Tribolium castaneum: one gene and its partners. The protein of the gene in region 1 purifies or fractionates together with the protein of each later gene. This does not show direct contact. Links are inferred from orthologs where the notes say so. Each region holds a gene or a part of one and is shown on either strand. Other genes may lie near its edges.

What was found.
Region 2: the proteins of me31B (region 1) and yps purify together in Drosophila melanogaster (affinity purification with western blotting; 3 studies listed by BioGRID, with this or other methods). This does not show direct contact. The link is inferred for Tribolium castaneum from reciprocal best matches to the Drosophila melanogaster genes me31B and yps.
Region 3: the proteins of me31B (region 1) and Patr-1 purify together in Drosophila melanogaster (affinity purification with western blotting; 5 studies listed by BioGRID). This does not show direct contact. The link is inferred for Tribolium castaneum from reciprocal best matches to the Drosophila melanogaster genes me31B and Patr-1.
Region 4: the proteins of me31B (region 1) and tral purify together in Drosophila melanogaster (affinity purification with western blotting; 6 studies listed by BioGRID, with this or other methods). This does not show direct contact. The link is inferred for Tribolium castaneum from reciprocal best matches to the Drosophila melanogaster genes me31B and tral.

What each region holds. Positions count from the first base shown.
Region 1 is NC_087402.1:3,102,579-3,108,383, reverse strand, and holds the start of me31B (ATP-dependent RNA helicase me31b), read right to left. Parts: upstream 3,583-5,805; 5' UTR 3,448-3,582; exon of another isoform or gene 3,310-3,447; intron 3,026-3,309; 5' UTR 2,904-3,025; coding exon 2,851-2,903; intron 2,797-2,850; coding exon 2,715-2,796; intron 2,484-2,714; coding exon 2,315-2,483; intron 1,530-2,314; coding exon 973-1,529; intron 924-972; coding exon 459-923; 3' UTR 1-458. Other genes in the region: KIF-binding protein, read left to right, coding at 4,591-4,792, 4,838-5,805. UniProt on the Drosophila melanogaster protein: ATP-dependent RNA helicase which is a core component of a variety of ribonucleoprotein complexes (RNPs) that play critical roles in translational repression and mRNA decapping during embryogenesis, oogenesis, neurogenesis and neurotransmission.
Region 2 is NC_087398.1:13,289,139-13,294,768, forward strand, and holds the start of yps (Y-box factor homolog), read left to right. Parts: upstream 1-2,162; 5' UTR 2,163-2,275; coding exon 2,276-2,351; intron 2,352-3,114; coding exon 3,115-3,212; intron 3,213-3,379; exon of another isoform or gene 3,380-3,516; intron 3,517-5,630. Other genes in the region: fws (conserved oligomeric Golgi complex subunit 5), read left to right, coding at 1,397-1,904.
Region 3 is NC_087401.1:15,389,030-15,393,219, reverse strand, and holds the end of Patr-1 (protein PAT1 homolog 1), read right to left. Parts: intron 3,253-4,190; coding exon 2,560-3,252; intron 2,085-2,559; coding exon 1,827-2,084; 3' UTR 1,317-1,826; downstream 1-1,316.
Region 4 is NC_087394.1:10,182,053-10,187,138, forward strand, and holds part of tral (protein LSM14 homolog B), read left to right. Parts: intron 1-2,435; coding exon 2,436-2,861; intron 2,862-5,086.

The DNA of each region.
Region 1 (5,805 bases):
TCTCGTTCCCTGAACCCAAGTCACATTATTAGCACACTTAGGAGTCTTTTCTCAGTTTTAACACATTTTAGTTTTTCACTATCAAAGTTCACACTGTTCAACTTATAGTTTAAGAACTAGATCTGCACCGACGACTCGAACGTATCACAGTGCGGTTTTACGCGGCCATCAAATTCGCGGAGATTCGGATGGTAAGTAACGAATTTCATGGCGTTGTAAAATAGTGACTGTAGAATTTTGCAGCTTTAAATGCACACGGGTAACAACTTATGCGATTTAAAGCTTAGGCCCCAAATGTAGAATCACTGTGATAAGTTACGTAGTAGTGCAGAATCTCTTAAATAAATCAGTATATCACCCTTTTTTAGTATAAAAAAGTCTTCAACAGAAATTTAATTCTTCGGAAAGTACGTTGTTTAATATTTACAGTTATCAGTGATATTTCGTAACACACCGCGTTACTTGGCGTTGTCTTCTGGAGTATCTTCGTCGTCTATTAACTTGGCCACGTACAACTTGGGATCGATCACTTTCGGGATCGGCTTGATCTCCGTTCCCAACTCTTGTTCAATGCGATGAAGCGCGAATCGATCATCGTAAGTAATCAAGTTGATGGCAATGCCCAAGTGCCCAAATCTTCCAGATCTACCGATACGGTGCAGATACGTCTCTGCCATTTTCGGGAAGTCGAAATTGATGACGACGTTGACGGCTTGCACATCGATACCTCTTGTAAACAGATCAGAACAGACTAGATTTCGGCAGAGACCAGCTCGAAAATCATGGAATACTCTGTTGCGATGCGCTTGAGCCATCTTGGCGTGAATGTAGTAGCAGCAATAACCAAGTTCGGTGATTTTCTTCGCCAACAATTCGACACGTTGCGTGGAATTGCAGAATATTATGCTTTGGTTTATTTGTAACTAGAAAAAAACTGTCAGAAAAAATAAACCAAAATACCAAGAGCCCAACCTTTGAAAACAGAGTATTTAAACAGTGTACTTTCTGACGTTCTTGAACGAACGCATAGTATTGCGTGACACCTTTAAGAGTGAGCTCCTCCATGAGATTGATCTCGTACGGATCTCGGAGATGTTTTCGCATAAACTGCTCAACTGTGAGAGGAAACGTGGCGGAGAACAACAGTATTTGTCTCTCTTGCGGTAAGTTCTTTATCACAGTGTCGAGCATCCCCTTGAAGTCTTGTGAGAGAAGCTTGTCGGCTTCGTCTAAAACTAGAATCTTGCACTGGTCCATTACGGCGACACCCTTTTCCATCAGATCGAGGATGCGGCCAGGCGTTGCTATAATAACTTGTACTTTCTGGTAGATGCGCATTATGTCATCTCTTAAATTTGTTCCACCGGTCGTTACCATCACGCGCACGTCCAAGTGCTTAGCGAGCTCAATGCAAATTTGTGACGTTTGAAGCGCGAGCTCTCGTGTAGGCACTATGATCAGTGCTTGAATGCAGTCTTTCTTGGGATCGATCTGTTCCAACACGGGAATACTGTACGCACCGGTTTTACCTGAAGACCAAAGCATTCAATAATTGACAGCCAATTTTTAGATTATGTCTGTAAAAGTTTGGCCCTCTTCTTTGTCTTTTTTTATTATAAAAATATTGATTTGTAACTAATTTCCAGTTTTTGGTATATCTGATATGATATATGTATAATGATAAATGCAATAAACAGTATTACATCCAAAAAAGATAAGCAAACAAACACAAGTGAGCTAGAGAGGTAATGTATTTCGAGTACATAACGAATACAAGTAAACAAGGTCACCCAATTTACAATAGGCAGTGAACAAATAACGATGATTTTAACATTTCTGGTGTTTGTCTGTGTCTCGGTTCGAACTACCGCTTATGTAGTGAAAGAAAATATAAAAAAAAACACAAATTAATTTTTTACATCGCGTGTTTTTTAGAATAGGACAGTTTAATAATAACACGTATTTTTTGACATCACAAGTAAATTAGTAAATTAAGAAAGTACAATCAGAATTACAAAAAAGAGAACGTTTTATTATTGACTTGATTGTTAAAAAAATTTTGTACAAAAAAGCTCAATTCTGCGAACTAAATTACCAAATAAAGTAGCTTGACTGATTTATAGCGCCCACTTATTCGAGCTGGTATTTCATAAGCGCAAATTACTGTATGTGATTTTTTGCGTCATATTCAAAAATAAATATGACTATTAGCAAAAATCAAGCCATTAGTTTTGCATATTTGTCCCCCCATCCAATTATTGAGTAACAGAACAGGCTTACTAAATATGCACTAAACATTGAGTAAAAAACATACCTGTGCCATTTTTTGCCCTTGCAAGAATATCCTTGCCAGATAACGCAATTGGAATAGAAGCTTCTTGGATAGGAGACGGTTTCTCCCACCCTTTTTCAAAAATACCCATTAATAATTCTCTCTTCAAGCAGAATTCTTCAAATTCATTTCCCCTGGTATCAGTCACATCCTAGTAACAAATACTTGATAAAATAACGGTAACACCTTTTTTGCACGAATGGTGAAAGAAATGCATGAAATCAGGCAAGACGTTATCATTTATAAGAAAAATGAAGGGGAATCCATAGTGTCATCATGTTAATAATGGAAAGCTTTGAATATTATTCCCGGTTTAGACATGCAAGTGACCCAAAGCCTTCCAAGTGACCGTGAACGTACAAAGCAGTGAGTTTTAACTTACACTGGTCTGTATTCTCCTATCCTTGGGTGGAATCTTCAGTTTGGCTTTCCATCCCATGTCATCCATTTTGGTGTCAATATCACTGCAAGGAAGCGGTTCGTCACCGCACATTCTTAATGATAAGCAAACAACTTACACTTTGCCTGACAAAGCCATCACATGGTTCGAATTCAATGTGTCCGTCATCATAATTGTAGAAAATACTATTGCAAGTGTATTAAAAAATAGGGTTTATAAAACCCAAATCTTCTTCCTCTACAATGTGTAGGATAAGTACAGTTCCTAAGATCCCTCACAGGAACGATAATAATCTGCAAAATCCCAGTTTAAACATCAATGACGCAGAAAATTTAAGGTCAATACGGAATAGATATAACCACAAAAATAGAACATCCCGTAATTGTTGCAGTGTCAATAATAGCCAGGTCATGAACATTCACTGGCGATACGGAAATAAAACCCTCAAAAACGGCCAAAAGTTCGACGATTGCAACAAATAAACAGGATTCAGATTTCTAATTAAAATGGCTACTGATTCTTGTGTACAGTGCACCGTCGACTACACATAAATTATTGCACAACGACGCAAATTTACCTGATTCTGGACAAAGAATTTAAGGAATACCGTCGAGACACCCTGGGAAATACTCAGACATTGCTCATAATGTGTGATTTTTGCATCAAATCGCTCTTTTCGAATAACTTTTACCACTGATATGGACGCTTTACTCACCAAAAGGAAAATGACTTTCAGCAATTAACAATGGCCGCGAATCTGCAATGCCAGGATGCTCCGCTAACCAAAGGACAACCCGTGAGATGGCGCGAGAAACAATCGGAAAAAATCAAAGAATTTTTGAAATTTTTGGCCAAAAAATACAATTTTTTTATGGCAGTGATAACAAAGCGCCCCTGATAGGGTCCGTCTCCTTCAACCATAATAAAATTAAGTAACCACTCATGTAAAAAGCTCACAAAAAAGCGTTCAAATTGCGCGCACCACCTTGTTCTCTTCTCACCACCCACAGCACCACCTTGTTCTCTGGCACCACCCACAGAATAACAGGTTTTACAGAAACGCATCTGTCCTTGTCCCGATAGAGCGAAAGTGTCACTAGCACATCTATTGTTGCCAGCGCGTACTAAGCGTTATCGGCGGGCGATTTGAATTGCCCGTAGTTACTTTTCTTTTAAAGTTTGATTGCATTTTTCGTATTGTTTGTAAATATTCACAACAATAGTTGCTAATAACACTTTCTGATGTTAGACAACTATTGTTGCTGAATATTTACAAAGAATACGAAAAATAAAATATGAGAATAAATAAAGACAATAAACTTGTAATAAAAATTTATTATCACTAGTCAATATACACGATACGATAACTATAAACTAATGATTGATCCATCAAATTATTTATATTCCCACAATAAAAAAGTTCAAAAAAGCACACACACGAAAAAAACCACAAAACAGTACTAATTTCACATAAAACAAAGCCGAAGGCGAACACCAAACAAACCAAGCACAAAATGGCGATTTACACAATGGCAACTGTCACAGGTCCACTGTTAATTTCTGCCGATATTATAGGTAGCTTCGCTAAAATTGACTATACGTGTGTGCGACATCTGCGATAGCAAGCCGAACTACAGTCGATTTTGAATTTGGCGCCTATACTTGGCTTGGTGCATTTAGGTTTCACCACCCTGGCACCACCTTTTTCATCCATGATTTGACAGCTATTTAACCTACAATTTGTCGGTCATTTTAATAACAAATAAACAGAATTTTAGCAAAAAATTGAGATTTCGGTAATAACTGTATTGCCGCATTTTTGGAGAGTTACATTTTGCAATAATTTTCAGTATACGTCATGACTGCAAGCAAGGAGGTTTTTGTCGATTTAGAGGAAAAATTCAATAAGGTCCTTAAGTTACTCGAGGACAGTAAATACGACCCTGAAAATCAGCCTTTCGTGTCGAAATATGCGGCCAGCGAGACCCTAGTCAGCATGAAAGCGAGTCTAGAAAATGTGATAGAAACTCAGCCAGACAATGACAAGATAAAACTAACAGGTGGTGCCACATTGTTGTAAATTTGCCTGAAGGTGATAATTTTAGCAATGTTGGGAAGTGTGTACCTGTATCTTGGTATGACTTCAATTGCCACTGAGGAATTATCGACTGGGGAGGGCTATTTGGCAAAGTGTGAAGACCTGATAAAGGATTGCACAGAGGAGCCCCAAGTGGTTATGGTAACATTGAATATGTACAACCAGTTTGGGATTTTGTGGTCGCAAAGAGAGCCAGAAAAGTCTAAAACTTACCTCGAAAAGGCTGAACGGTTGTACGCGACTTACAAGAAATCGAACGTACCACCAGTTGACATAAAAGACTTGTTTAACCCAAACTTCGAACTAAACGACATTGAAACGGCTTGGATTAACTTTGAGAAAGTTTACACTTTGACAGTGTACTACTTGGCCCAAATATACGGGGCGTTGAAAGACGCATTAAAAAGTGCAGTTTACTGCCACAACACTTTACAAAGACAGTTGGATAGTGGTGACTATGAGTCCATAGACTGGGCTTTGAACGCCGCTACACTGTCCCAGTTTCTCATGGAACAGAACGGTTTCAAACAAGCGAGACATCACTTGGCTGCCAGCTCGCTCATTTTGGACGAGTATGCGAAAACCCTGGACGCTATCACCGAAAGAAATGAGGCTTTTGACGCCAAGATGGAAGTTTTCAAGCACCGGTCGGCCGATATTGCGCGATGTTGGGCCAAATACGGCTTACTTCTCCTATCCAAGTCTAAGGAACGACTGCTGAATCACACCGACGACATTGACAAAAACTGCACGCTTTCGTCCGATCTCACAACTCTGACTCTTGACTCAGACGCTAGTGTGACGAGCGCGGATTTGCAAAATCTACAATTCACATCGCTAGACCTCGCCCGTTACGAAAACCAAATCACTTACAAGTTCATTCTTACAATTCAGGACGCGCGTCACGTGTTCCTAAACATCCAAAACTGGCTGCAAAAAGCCGAGGCTTACTATACTCTAGAAACGTTAGCGTCT
Region 2 (5,630 bases), on another chromosome or scaffold:
CTTTGAGTTTGAGGGATAGGGAATTCCGTTCATTTTTAGCGCGTTATGAAAGTTATAAAACTTTCTTTGAGGATTTTTAGTAGTAACAGAGTTTTTAGAGCAACGAAAACAAAGCAGATAGAGCATTAATTTATCTATTGTAATAGATAAAAATAATGCATAAATTATGTCGCACCTCGTGGATGACAAACCACTCGTTTTCACTCGTGGAATAAAACGTCCGATTTACACTAAAACTCGTTAAACTACTTCACAAAAATTAAGATTTCTGTTATCATGGTTTTATTAATTCTTAAAATTATATAGGGTGATTCTTTTAATGTCTTATTAAAAAAAATTAACTTCTGATATAGCTAGAGCATTAAAATTTTGTATACGATCCAAATCGACCATTGTGAGTTGAACTAAATTATTTTCAAAATGATTGAGCTACTCAGACTACGAGAAATTGGCGCCAACTTTGAAATTTTAAATAGTAACCACAATTTTATAGCATTTTTGAATTCAACTTCTCAAACTGAGGAAAATTTACCCAAGTTGTTAGTACTTATTTTATATAGTTTTTGAGATACCATGTTATTTTTTTTGTTAAAATTTTTATTTGCAAAGGTTTATCTAAAATATCACAGCCCTTGAATCCTTTGTGGTAATTGATATTTTTTTACATTTGATAACCGATGGTTTGAAGTCTTCTGGCATTTTCAAAATTATCAACTGTCAAAATTCAAGGCTGGTATGATTTTTTTAAAATGGTTATTAAAAAACGTTTATAACTCAGTTTTTTCAAATGGAACGACCTTATTTTCTTAATGGTAATCGAAAGAATATCGAGATCATGGTGACTTTTATTAACACATCCTATATCTATCTCTTACAGTTTTGAAATAATCACAAAAAACTGATTTTACTTAGTAATTTTCATCGTAATCAAGTAGGCCTTTCAAAATTGTCAACAAATGTCACACTTATCCTAAAGAGTTGAAGAGCTGTGCTATTTTGAATGAACCCTTGCAAATAAATGTTTGCCATAGATGTTTGCTTAAAAAAATTGACAAATATCAAAAAGTATGACAGATTGTTACTAAGAAATAGGGTACATTTTACTCCGTTTCAAAAGGCGAATACAAAAATGCTGTGAAATAAGACTATTTTAAAGGAAATTTAATTTTCTACAACTTTCTCCTTAAAATTTTTCTAGTTATTTTTAAACATTCCCCGCGTTATGAAAAATCTGAGTCAATACTTAAATTAAAAAAGAAAATCACATGTTTCTAGTGAAAATTTTTATATCTCATTTCGGCTTCTAATCTACAGTTCTTCTTAGTTGGGGCGAACTTCCCTACACCTCAAACTTTTATTTAAACAACTATTTCTTTAAATTAATTATGTAATAAAGATGTAGCGAAATCGCCGTCCGTTGCATTGAGCTCCTGGTCCGCCACTCCTCCTTACTCCGGCCCATATCACAAGGGGGGCGCGTGCGACTCCAGTCCGACTACCTCCATCTCGAAGGCGCCCTCAGGGTGATTTGCCCCCATTTGAGCGATTTGGGGCGTCCTTATCGTTTACTAAAATCCATGGCGTCTCTTGTCACCCTAACTCCAGAGGAAATCGTCGCAAGTCAAGCTTCTGAAAGCTCAGTGCCTCACAGTACCGTTTTACTTTTATTATTTTCATTTGCCGGAAGTGAATTGGCGAGTCCGCACCAAAACACAGCGTGGTCACTTCCGAAATTATCGGCCTGGTTGGATGAGCACCCTTCGGAATCGGATCGGTTGGATTTGATCGTGGGAGCCCTCCAAAAGTACGAAAATCTAGTGAGGCAGAAAAATTCCGTTAATTATGACCCGGTTTATCCGATCATGTCTACGTTTTTGGAAAATGCGGTTAAAACGGTTAAATAAATATTTTGTTAAACTTTGATTTTGTTTTCCTGATTACGGTCCTGTATTCAATTGCTTGGCAACGGCCCTCTAGTGGCGCCACTACCAACGAAAAATAATAGCGTGGTTGTTAGCCACTAGGCGACGCTTTGGGGCATGCGCATTGCTGGGTGAAATTTTGCGTAATTGCGACATATGTGATGCGGGGAGCATGTGTGTGAGAAAGAGAGGATCGATAATGAGCGTGTCCGTGATTGATTCAGCGAGTTTATTTAATGTTGAAAAAATTGAGCATCGACAAGATCTTCAACAACTGTGAAAGGCAGGAAGGAGGAAGGAAGAACATCGTGGAAAGAGGAGTTTAACATCAGCCAACCGGCCCTTTTACCATCATGGCTGAAGCTGAACAGCAGCAACAACAACCAACAGCGGAACCGCCGAAAGTCAACAAACAGAAGGAAGTGATCGGTGAGTAAATTGCGTTTGCGGGGTTTTTGTGTGGGCCCGGCGTCCATCTTCTCTGCACCGAGCACATGGCCGGTTTTCCGCTGAGTGGGGCCGTGAAAAGCGCTTTTCGCGAATGTCTGACAGTTTTCCACCGCTTTGACTGTAGTTTTCCCGACGCGGTTGTCATTTGTTTGAGAGGAGCCCACTTTGCGCTATTCGGGATGCAGGCCGCCATTGTGAGGACGCGCTTATTATCCTCCGAGTGGAACGAAAGTGGTTAATTGAGGAGGAAAAGGGGCTTTTTGTCAAATTGGGGACCATTCGGGACGCAATTTATTTATAAATGTAGGCGTCACGTGGAAGCGGCCCGGCGTTTTGACTTTTTTGGCGGCGTCACGATTATTTTTAGATAATTCTCACGATTTTCTCGTAACGGAGGTAAAAAACCGAAAGCATTGGCCGGTTCAAGGCTGAGAGCTTGAGAGAATAAAAAATCGCGAAATTGCAACAAAAAATCAAAACCAGTCAAATCAAACCAAGTTTTTGTGTCATTTTATGCCTTATCTAGTTGGCCTGACTACCTTTTCGGGCTTTCCGAATTTCTCTCTTATCCAGTTTTTTGACTTGTCAAAAAAGAAATTATTTTTAAGAAATTACTAGAAATGTTTTTTATCGCTCCTACTAGTTAACGACGTCAAAAAAAGAAAAATCTTGTCTGTAAAATGGTCTGATTAATTGAAAAATTTCCTCTAAAATCATTTTGTTAATTTATGTTTTTTTTCAGCTAGCAAAGTAACAGGGACTGTGAAATGGTTCAATGTGAAGAGCGGTTACGGCTTCATCAACCGAAACGACACCAAGGAGGATGTTTTTGTACACCAAGTGAGTGAAAAATTTGTTTTTCAAATCTTATCACATGTACAAATTAATATGCAGTTAAATTGCTTTGTTGCGATTTTTTCTTATCGGTTCAATTTTGTATGCAAGCATTTGTCAAGGTTTCTTGACAATTTTATTCAAATCACATGATAAGTAAAATTGATTGATTTTGCACGCTCCATAGATCCATCTCTGGTTTTCTAAAGAGATGCTTGAGTCATTGGTGTGCTAAAGTACTGTACCTCCAAAATTTCAATAAAAATGGTGCTGATCAAATGATTGCATTGGACTGGATTTTGGGGAACAGTTTATTATATTAATATTATTGTATTATCTCTTGGGGCTGTGATAATATTTATCACAGCATCCTGCTTATTGTTATTGCTTTTTTGACATTTATCGTTAGATAATAGGTTTTTTAAAATTTTGTTTTTATGTAAACAAAAACAAGTTGGTTTTGACTTGGGTATCAGTTTAGTTTTAATTCTTTTTGATTAAAATTTGTCAGTCTTTTGTGTAAGATTAGTTTTTATGGTTGTAGTAAAATTTATTGCTCGAATTTAATGTGTTTCGTTCGTCGATAAATTAATTATGTTGCCGTAGATTACAAAATTGTATTATTCGAATTGATTAAAAAAAGTTGTGACGTCACGGGAATGCACTGGTACTTTATAACAATATTTGAAGGATATTTTAAAATTAATGATTCATTAATTTTTGTAGGAAGTTCGTTATTGTTATCCTGATATCACATAATTTGACTTGTAAATTGGAACATTTTTTGAAACCTCTTATTTCCCAATTTCTAGCAAAACTCATGAAGAGGGCGCTCAAAAATTGGTGCATCAAATCAGTGATACGTTGATTAGCATTGAGAAAAATTGTAAAGTCTATTTATTGAGTTCACATTTTTGTTAATGTTTTCATATTTCATAGTTAATAAGCCGTATGAATAAAATTGAAGTATGATTATAATGCAAAAGCAAATATTTGAAGTAAAAAGTAAAAACATTTGATTAGTTTGAATAAGCTTTTACTTTGAAGTCAGTGCTTTAGTTTTATTATGTAATGAATTTTCTTACTCTTAGTTGTACAACATCCTCCATCGTTTAGAGTTTGGTATGTTACTTTAAACAGGTGATGCTCGTACTGATTAGTATCAACAATTTTGAAGTAAATTTTTAATGAAAATAGCATTTACTGTATATTATTAACTTTGTTTGGTAAAAAAATGAGTAAAACTTTGATGTTAGAGTAAATACTCGTACAGGGTGCTATTAGTTGTATTAAAAGCTAATAATGAAATTTTTATTCATACATTTTAGAGTATTTTCTCGCAAAAATTTAAGCAAAAGCATTTACTCAATTTTATTCATACGGTCCAACACCTTTTCGTGACATACTTAATAACAAATTTTGTTTTTAAATTTAGTATTAATCTTACAGATTTTTGATAAAAAAAGTAAATTTTATCACAAAATTAAAATTTGTAGATGCAGCAACACTGTGTGTGGTGATCTCGATAATTTATTATTGTTCATTGCTTATTTCCAAGGACATCTGAACCAAGGTTCCAAAAATAAATTCACTTTTATTCTTAATATTCTATTGCTATCAGGATTGTTAGACAACGTTGCCACATATCATTTACATACTTAAAAAATTCATTATAAATTTTAATACACAGGGTGGTACATGGATTTTTTGCTAACTATAATTATCTCTTTATCTGTATAAGCATTTTTTTTACCATATACCATTAAGTTGTTTTATGGTCCCCTGTATTTCTATGCTACAACACTTATCTAATAGTTATTTAACGAATGTTCAATATTTAAAGTGTCCAGATTGGTAATCGCCGATTGACAGACTAATTATTTACAATGCTTTGATGGAATTTAAATTTATTTTCTGTTGTGCTTAAAATTGTGGCCACTATTTGCCATCATAGCATTTATATTTGCAAAAGTGAGCTCAATTTTTGAAAACAAGAGTAGAAAAGGCCAGTTTTTCAGTCATTGAAGAAATGGACTTTTTTCGACAATTATAAATCTCTTGGTAGGTAAAAACTGAGCTTCGTTGTATAAATATAGCGATTTTTTTTTTTAATAAATCAATTGATTTATTAGACTGTTTAAAATTTATATTGAAACAGTTAAGAATTCTATTCATGAACAATTTACTCTATTTTCTTATTTTCATCGTTAAAAACTTCAAACAATTCTTCCTGTAAGTAATAAAGATAGTTCATACGTCTCAGGTTCATAAATCACGAGGTTTTTTTAACTTTGTTGTGTTGCTATTCTTATTTTTAAATTAACCATTCATTAGTTCTAGTTTCGTCATTCGTCTTAAAATAAATTCTGCCTATTCATTATTTTACCATTATTTATTGTTATATTATTAATCATATGTAAAATT
Region 3 (4,190 bases), on another chromosome or scaffold:
TTTAATTTTCTCTCTTGATTTTTGTGTACATTCTTTTGTAAGTAATTGTTTTCTAAATTGTTTTTGGATTCTTCTCCAAATTTTCTGGAGGCTGTATATAAGTATTTTATTAAATTCTTTTCTGATAATGATTCGATTTTTTCTCTTAGTTCCTCCTAATTATTAGTATTATTATTAGATTTCGCAATCTTTTAAAAAAGTAGTATTTAAAACAAACAAAATAATATAAAAAAAACTCGAATTTTTGAATTTTATTTTTGAAAAAAGTCAGTCGCCAAACTTTATATATAAACCGTTCCACGTTGTTAAAATAACATCACACCTCATTTTAATTCCAAGAACAATCATCGATGAATACAAAACAATTTAAAAATAAATTTCTTTGTCAAAATTCGCCAAACAATTTATCGTACATTGAACAGTTGTAACATCCTTATCGTAACTAACTGCTAAAGCAATAAATACGATTGTGTCACATATTCGTATAATTATCGCGACAAAATTGCAAAAAACAATTTCAGCGAGTATTTGGCCGCCAGATGTTGCCGCCTGTGCACATGTCGTGCACTTTTCAACCTCATACAGGGTGTTTGAACGCACTTATCTAATCCAAATTGTGCAACAACAACACCAAACCGCGACAAGTCTTTATTTGGCAGCACCTCAAGCACTCAATTAATTAGCGGCTGAATTTGTCTCATTAGACACAGCCCGCAAATTGTGTAATTACTCCAACCCACATTATTACATCACACAGCCAGTTTCCTCAAAATAACGCCCCAAAGGCCGGGAAAACAATTACGATTTCATCGAATTTCGCTCGATGAGTCACATCAGCTGGGCCGCGGAAGCCAAGAAAACAAATTCACGAATTAACGAGAGGATAAATTGGACTTTTAAGGTCAACACTGACTCATAGGCCAATGTAAAAGGACAGTTTACGGCCAAAAATTTGCCATTAAAAGATTAATTAATCCAATCGCGCAAATTGACTCGGAACGACCGGAAGAAGAGCCCCGAAGGGTAATAACAAGAAAACGAAAATAAATAAAGCTAAAAATAACCATTTGTATGCATTTTGACACCCACACCATTTTTCAACTGATAAGCGCGCTAAAAATAGCACTTACCCCAAATGTCGAGATAAAGTCGCTCGTCGTGGCCTAATCGTCGCCGAAAACACACAATTTTCATTAAATTCGCGTTTTTTCTGTAATGTTTTATTAATTTCTTGGTTATGACAATGTCGCGGCTGTCACTGGCGCGGTGGCGTCGCTAGAGGGCGCCGCGGCGCGGGCGGGAAATTCAAACAACAGTTGGGTCAAACTTTTTATTAACATATATCCGTTTGACATTCACTATCTATTGAAAAAGCATGATATCTTTCAAACATATTTAGATATCTGGAAAATAAACGGTTCTGTTAAATTTACTTAATTGTCTAAAGTTAATTCCAACTAATGCAATTGAAAACAAATATTTTGCATTAGCCCAATTAATGAACCAGCATCGGCCGCTCAATTGGCAAACTCACGATAACGAATTTCGGATACGTCACAATAAAATCAAAGCGGTGGATGCGAGTCGTGCAATTTCCATAACAAATCCAATAAATTACTAATTTAATATACAAAAATAATTAATTGAATTACACATAATTAAAAAGCTACAACCAACAATCAAGAGTTGTTACAAATAACAAATTTCAACATCTAACTTCTCTCTTTCATATATAAAAACAATAAAATAAGTTGTACACCTTTTTTACAGTTCTTGACGCCTATCTAAAAACATAAAAAGTAAAAATATATGGATTAGTAGATTGATCAGTTGGAGTCGACAAAGTGCTTCTCCAACTGCATTTTCTTATCGGGTGTTAGATTCTCGAAGCGGTTGCAATGCTTGGTGAAAATCTGAATCGGAACGGGCTCGATAGGTGTCGCCACTTTACTGACCACTCCTGTCAGGTCGGCCCAGCTCACTAGAAAATTGGACCAGTCGTTCTGTTGTTTCTCGCTCGCTGTCTCGGACGAAATCAGGTATTCGGTTCGTATCAACATCGTCACCAGTGCAGAGACACCAAACTGGAAAAAAAACAATTACACAACACGCCCACTTGTGGCTACAAATATGGAGGCACAAAAATCGCAATACCACGCAAATGGTGTGTCAAACATTAAAGGAACACTGACAATTATCACTTCCTACTTTTCGCACACTTGATCATTTTTACATAACGATATATTCAGTAATCACTCTTTAATTGAAAGTAGTTTTTTTAATTAAAAATGACTTTCTAATTTAAACAGCAAAGTTTAAAACTTAACAAGATATAAAACAGCGGCAAGGTGTTTAGTCTGCGGTCGGCCCTATGTAAGAACTGATACTTCGACAAAAAATTTCAGATTTTTGCACGATTTACGAACATAATTTCCCTTAAAAAACACTTCACACTTTCAAAAAATGTAAAAGTCTGGAAAAAAAATTTGTTTAGTCTGCGGTCCGCCACATTGAAAAACCTAGTTTTGAGGTAAAAACAAGCGAAAAAACGTGGCTTACTTTATTCAAGAGGACGAAATAAAGCGGCGCTTTGCCTTGGTGACTCAACGGCGTGCTTCTGCTGTTCTCCTGCCTGATGACCTCAACCAATCCCGTCACAATTTCCAAGATATCACCCATCGTACTAGTCTGTATGTACCTCTTGAAAAACGGATGCAACTTGGGCAAAATGTGATCGCCTGCCGTATCTCTCCTCCCAACAATGGCAATACTCAACAAAATCCGCGTCCAAATCTCCAACAACTGGGCGGAAAAACCGTCCATAGTCAAATGTGGCAAAAGCCTCAACAGCAACATTTTCCCTTTTCTTATGTTCAAAAAACTGGCAAATTTGTCTTCCTGCAGCAAACCGTTGACGATTTTCACGATATAATCGTGCGGATTTTCGACAACTGGTTCGCTGTCTTGCTTTAAAAGTTTCAAAACTTCTTGTTTTTGTTCGGGTGTTGGGGCTAAATCTAGCTCACGTAAACGTTGTTTTTGTTTGATTTCGTGCAGTTTTTCCATGTTGCTGATTGCGAGAGGGTTACGTAGGTCTTCGGCTTTGAGGAGGAGCGTGAAGAGAGCTTCGAGTTCAAGGAGGAGTTGCTTGGTTTTACGCGTGTCTCGGACCACGACGGGGCTGTCGGAGTCCTTGTCGGGGGTTACTATGTCCATGTCGATGATTTTTCGAGGGGCAGTGACCGACCCACACTAAAATAATCATGAGATTTTAAACCGTTTTACTGTTTTTTCGATATACTACAAAATAAAAACAATTACGCAAGGTTTTCTTTAAATTTTCTGCCGAAATCTTCTTTAGATTACCAGTTTATTAAAAATGTGGCTGATTTATGTTTAAAATATTAATTTTCTTACCTAACTCAATTATTAATATTATATTATTGTTTCTTTTCTTTTGTTTGTTTTAAAATTCTTCTTTCAATTTTACTTAAATCCTAGTTTCTTCTCTAAATACGTATTTTTTTATCATTTTATTTATTATTTCTTATTATTAAATGCTCCTATAGATTTTTTTCAAGATTCTTTTCCACGTTTTTTTTTATAAACTGTTCGCCTTTTTCTTTTTTTTATTTTTTATCTGTATTATTTCTTTAAAGTGAAGAGTAATTTGAAGAAATCCGGGCAATTATTCGAGATATTTATTTTAAATCGAGGTATCGGTAAAATCTTCGTTAAAATTTTCTTAAAATTATTTTGTTTCTTTTTTTTAAATTCTTCTCTGGATTCCATTTAGACTCACCTCTAAATTTCTATTTTAATTCTTCTCTAGACTTTCGTCTAAATCCTCTTTAAATTCTTAACAGATTTTCGGTTAAATTATTTTTCTTTCATTATTTGTTTACACATTCTTTTATAGATTTTCTTTTACTCAGATTTTTTCCTTAAGGCTTCCCAAAATATTTACTTTAATTTTGTTCTAGTTAAACTGTTTTCTCTCTCTGTGCTCTGCTTTTTTACATTTCTTTCTTCTTTAAATTCTTTTTTCTTGTTTTCTGTTTTTAAACGCTAATAAACTTACCTTTGAAACTCCTCTGAAGAACTAAATTCCCCTAGATTTTTTTTCAAAATTTCTTTTATACTTTTTACCTTTTTCTTTTAAAAACTCTTTTATCTGCTCTCAAAATTCT
Region 4 (5,086 bases), on another chromosome or scaffold:
CTATTATACTACCCTTGACGACGAAATCGAATTTCTATCTAACGTGTAACGATTCGATCTTTATGTGCCTTTTGTAATACCTTAGTTTACACCTGTGACTGAAAAAATGTGAAAAAATGATAAATGAGCGTAATTCGGCAATGACAAAGTACAAAAAAAAACAATACTAACGATTGGATTGCTTATAAACATTTACGCAATCTGACTGTAAATTCAATAAGGCAAGAAAAGAAAGCATATTTCACTACTAAAAGTAAACAATACGATAAAAAAGAAATATGGTTAGTTTTACGTAATTTAAACATTAAATCAGGAAAAAGAAACGACATAGTTTTATCAAACTTCAATGTGGATGATGCTAATAATAATAATTTTGTTGTTAGTATTTAGTCCGTCAGATAATTGTACTAATTCCACATTCTTGTTAGTAGCAAAAAATTAAATGTTAATAGTTGTTTTTGTCTTGTACTTGCTTGTATTGATGAAATACAACAGATAAATGATAATTTAAAATCTAATGCTTTTGGTGTTGATCTTCAGCAAATACAGGGTGTTAGCGAAATAAATGCATTCCTTTTAACCTGTGACAGTACACATCAAGGATAACAAAAAATCTTAGTAACATCCTTGCGAAATGAACGAGAGAAAAATACTCATTATTATTATTTTTTATTACCCACTGTCTTCTAATAAAAACAATTCACCACTAAAAAACAGTTGTTGGTACTAAACCATCCACCAAATTTGGAACCTAAGGGTGTAGCCGTTTTTGAGAAAAAAAGCTAAAACTATTTTTTTAGGCTAACTTTTGATGCGAATAACTCTGCAGGGGAGTTCTTTTTCGAAAAATTTTCTAAGAAAGACATTCCGTAAAATCACTTGTAGAACACGCTTTTGAAAGGAATGCATTTATTTCGCTAATACCCTGTATGTTGAAATGATTTTCACCTATTTTGACGAAATTTATTGCTCATATTGTTAACTGTAGCATTGAGGTTGGATATTATCCTGAAATGTGGAAAACCGCTTTAGTGCGTTCTCTACCAAAAATTAAAAATTCCAATGCATGCTCTGATTTGAGACCCTTTACAATGTTATCAAGATATCAAAAAATTACAGCCCTGGTAAAAATTCTTGATGATTGTTTTAAAGGTTTAGATAAAGATGAGGCGACTATTGTGACATTATTGTTGGATTTTTCCAAAACGTTTGACACCTTTTATGTGGAAAATTATCATTTTACGGTTTCGACGAAATTTCATCAATTTTTTTTTCATATCTGATAAATAGAAAGCAAATTGTTACTATAGGCATCTCACAATCAAGAGCAGGTAATATTACATCCGGTGTTCCACAAGGCTCAATTTTAGGACCGCTTCTATTATTTATTTACATCATAAGTATATTAGAATCCGTAAATTATGTAAATAGCCATCTCTTTGCAGATAATACGCAGTTTTATTATCATTTTTATCCTAATAATGTAGAACGGCTCACGATTTTATTAATAAAGGTTTAAATGAAGTTTTTTATTTTCTAAAAGCATTGACTTGAATTTATGCGAGCAAATGTTTGTCAATTTGTATTTCCATAAGAAACACAAAAATAAACTCAAAAATCAATCTCAAAATTATACAAATAGATGTCGCCAATAATTTTAAAAATCTTGGAACTATAACATTCGGAATTTCTATTTAGAGAATATTGAATTTTATTGAAATATTGTAATAAGATCTTACATTGTATTAAATATGTTATATTCCAACTGCAATATTTTGCGTTTTAAATTTCGAAAAAAACTGCGAATTATTGGTGCTTTCTGACCTTAACTATAGTCTTATTATTGAATTATCGTTTCAAATATCAACTAAAAAAAATATAAAATTCGTGTGCTCGTTTTATTTATAAGTTAAGAAAATTTGACCATGCATCTAAAAAAAAAAGAATTTGGTTGGTTGATGGTAGACCAAATTTTATAATTATTTTTTGTCACTGTTTATCTATAAAATGTTTGTTACAGCTTCACCACTATTTCATTCAAGAAAAAGTTGCTATCAAGTTTCTGTGCGTAATATTGTTGATCTCGTACATTATAATACAATAACGTTATCATTTGTTTAAAGAAAAACTTTCGGTGAACAATTTTCGCAATAAAATAAAAGCATATTTTTCCAATCTCTAGGTTTTTTCCAAAATTCTTATTGCTTTTTGTTGTTTTCTTCTTGTTTTATTTTTTTTTAATATGTGCAATTTTTGTAAATTTCATTTCGATTATTCGTTTATTTATTTATTTTTTTGTTTATGTACTTCTTAGATGATAAGCGGGTTAAGTTGGAATAGCAATTGCTAGACTTCGGCTCTCGAGTTGTATTTACAATTCAATAAAAACGTGTTATTATTATTATTGTTATTAACTTTTGCGCATTTTCTTCCAGTTCGCTCATTTGGTACTGAAGACAGGGAGACGCCTTACCCCGTCCCTGCCCAGAACCAAGTCTATGACTACATTTTATTCCGCGGCTCTGACATCAAAGATATTCGAGTTGTGAATAATGTTGCTCAACCTCTTAACGATCCGGCGATTATGCAGCTGTCGGTTCCTCCAACATTGGGACAGCAGCAGTTCCAGAACCATCCGATGATGGGGCACCCCCTGGGGCCCCAAATGGGACAATTTGCGTCGGGTTATGGAGCGATGGGTTCAATGGCAGGTCTGTCGAGTGGCATGGTACCGGGTATGGGTATGTCGAGAGATCCCAGAGGTCTCGCTGGTAATAAACCAAATGATTTAATTATACCGGGTACGGAACAACCACAAGTCCTATCTCCTGCAGTTGAACCGCCTCGACCAAGCGATCACGGTAACGTAATTTTTGACGGCTTCTTGCTTGATTTGCTGCCAAAGTTGTCGCTTATGCGTGCTTTTTATTGCAAGGAGTTAGGAAGTTGTTGTAGGAATTATTTAGTTTTATTTTGGACTTTTTCGGGGAATATGTGTTGTGTTTTGTTGCTTATTTTTTAGCGAGTTACATTGTTTTTTAAAGTTAGTTCTAAAAATTTGATCTGAACAAAAAATTTCAATTGTGTGACTAAACAAAAGTGTGGACAAGAGTGCCGTAAAAATTTTATTTTGTAAACGAATATCGTGAATAGTAACTTAAATTGTTATAGTGTGTTAAATTTGTCTCTTGAACACATTTTTATACCTCATTCTATTTTTGGTTGAAGGTGTCTGTGTTCTTTTTAATGGCACAAACTGTTGTCAGAAAATTTTATTAGTGATTTTAAAAAATTAAAATCAAGTTGTCCAATTTATTTTTGCTTTTTTGCGCATTGGGTACGTGTTTGAGTATAAAACTTGGGGGTTTTTGTTACACAGAGCTTATAAATGTTATTCCTCTTCGTGTTTTAGCACGTTTTTTTTTATTAGCTGAAAAATCAACTATTATGAGAGATTTTGTCAAAAATGAGTTGAACAATGACTCAATTTGCGTTGAAAATGGACTTAATTTATTGTATTGTTTATTTGACTTTTTTGATCTTTTGGAAACGTTATTGAATTAAAAGTTAAATAACATATTATGGATTTTTTGTGAGCATATCAACGTAAAATTTCTTAAAAATAAATCAATTTTAAAAATTGTATTATTTTTGTCTTGTCTATGAGCACATTACTCAACTGTAAACTCAAGCCTTCGTACGATTTTGATTAAACCGTTCCGAAAAATTACTAAATATAGTCGAAAAAACTCGAAAAGAACTTTATTTTTAGCGTTTTGCATCTGACTTTGTCAAAAACTTTTATCGATCGATTATTTGAATTTATAATTACAATAAGCTTTATCAGTTTTTTACTTGAATGGAAACGCCGATTGTGTTAATTAATCAAGCTTAAGGGTCAAATAATAAGGTTTCGAACGGTAATATTAATTTAGAATATATTTTTTCTCTCAGTTTGTGCTGGTTTTTCAATCATAAAGACACAAAATCGCCTACTCTAAGTATAAATTCAAATGATAGCATGGTATTACGAAAGAGTGAATCAAAAATGAACTGAAAATGTACAAAAGTGGCTTGTAAGTTGCGTTGTTTTTGCCTTTCGTAATTGTTTAAGCACATTTTTGAGCCAGAAACTTGGTTTCTTTGTGAGATTTTGTCGGACTGGGTTAAAAAAATCGCTAAATTACTTCTTTAATTACATAATTTTAACATATTTTGCTGGATTTAATTCGTTTTTCAACTTGAAACTTTGTTATTTTATGCAAAATAAACCATTTTATTCAATCGGTAGAAATTTTGTCTTTTTTTTAATGTTTTTATGCGAGATTTTTTTAAAATCATACCGAAAAATTACGTAATTCAGTCGAAAATGGCATAATTTTTGTCTTATTCGATAGTTTTAGCATGTGTCTTAACAGATTTTATTAAAAATAAGCTAAAAATTTACTAGTTTAGCTCGAAAATGGCATTATTTATGACCTTTTTGATCATTCAGGTATTTATCTACACTTTTAGCTAAAAAATTGTTTTGTGGGATTTTCCCGTACCGGTTAAAAAAATAATTCGTCAAAGATATATAAGTTTGCAAATTTTTGCATGTTTTATTCGCTTTAGTTCGTTTTCAACTGTAATCTCACTTATTTCATGAAAAATAACTTGAAAGTTGACCAGATTTATTAGTGAATGTGTGATCTTTGCTTTTTTTTAAAAGGAGCTATAGATCTAAAGATAAATAAATTTACAAAATTTTTAAGTTGTTAGATAGTTTTCTCCATGATAAACACTGTTATTATACCTGGCACAAATTAGCCGAAAGTTTACCAAAAAAGACCGGAGAAGCGTCATTTTTACGAGACTATTTTACTTAGTAAATCACATTTTTTTTCGAAATTCTCGTATGTCGTAAAAAATACGCCAAAAAGTTCTTTTTATATTTATCTATACAACATTTTTTATCATGTTTTGAACTCTCTTTTCGCAAAATTAAAGCTGCAATAATGTCTTTGTGAAATTTTGCTAAAACTGTACCAAACCATTGCTAAATTATTTTCAATATAACATATTGTTTTTATTTTTTATTCAGTCA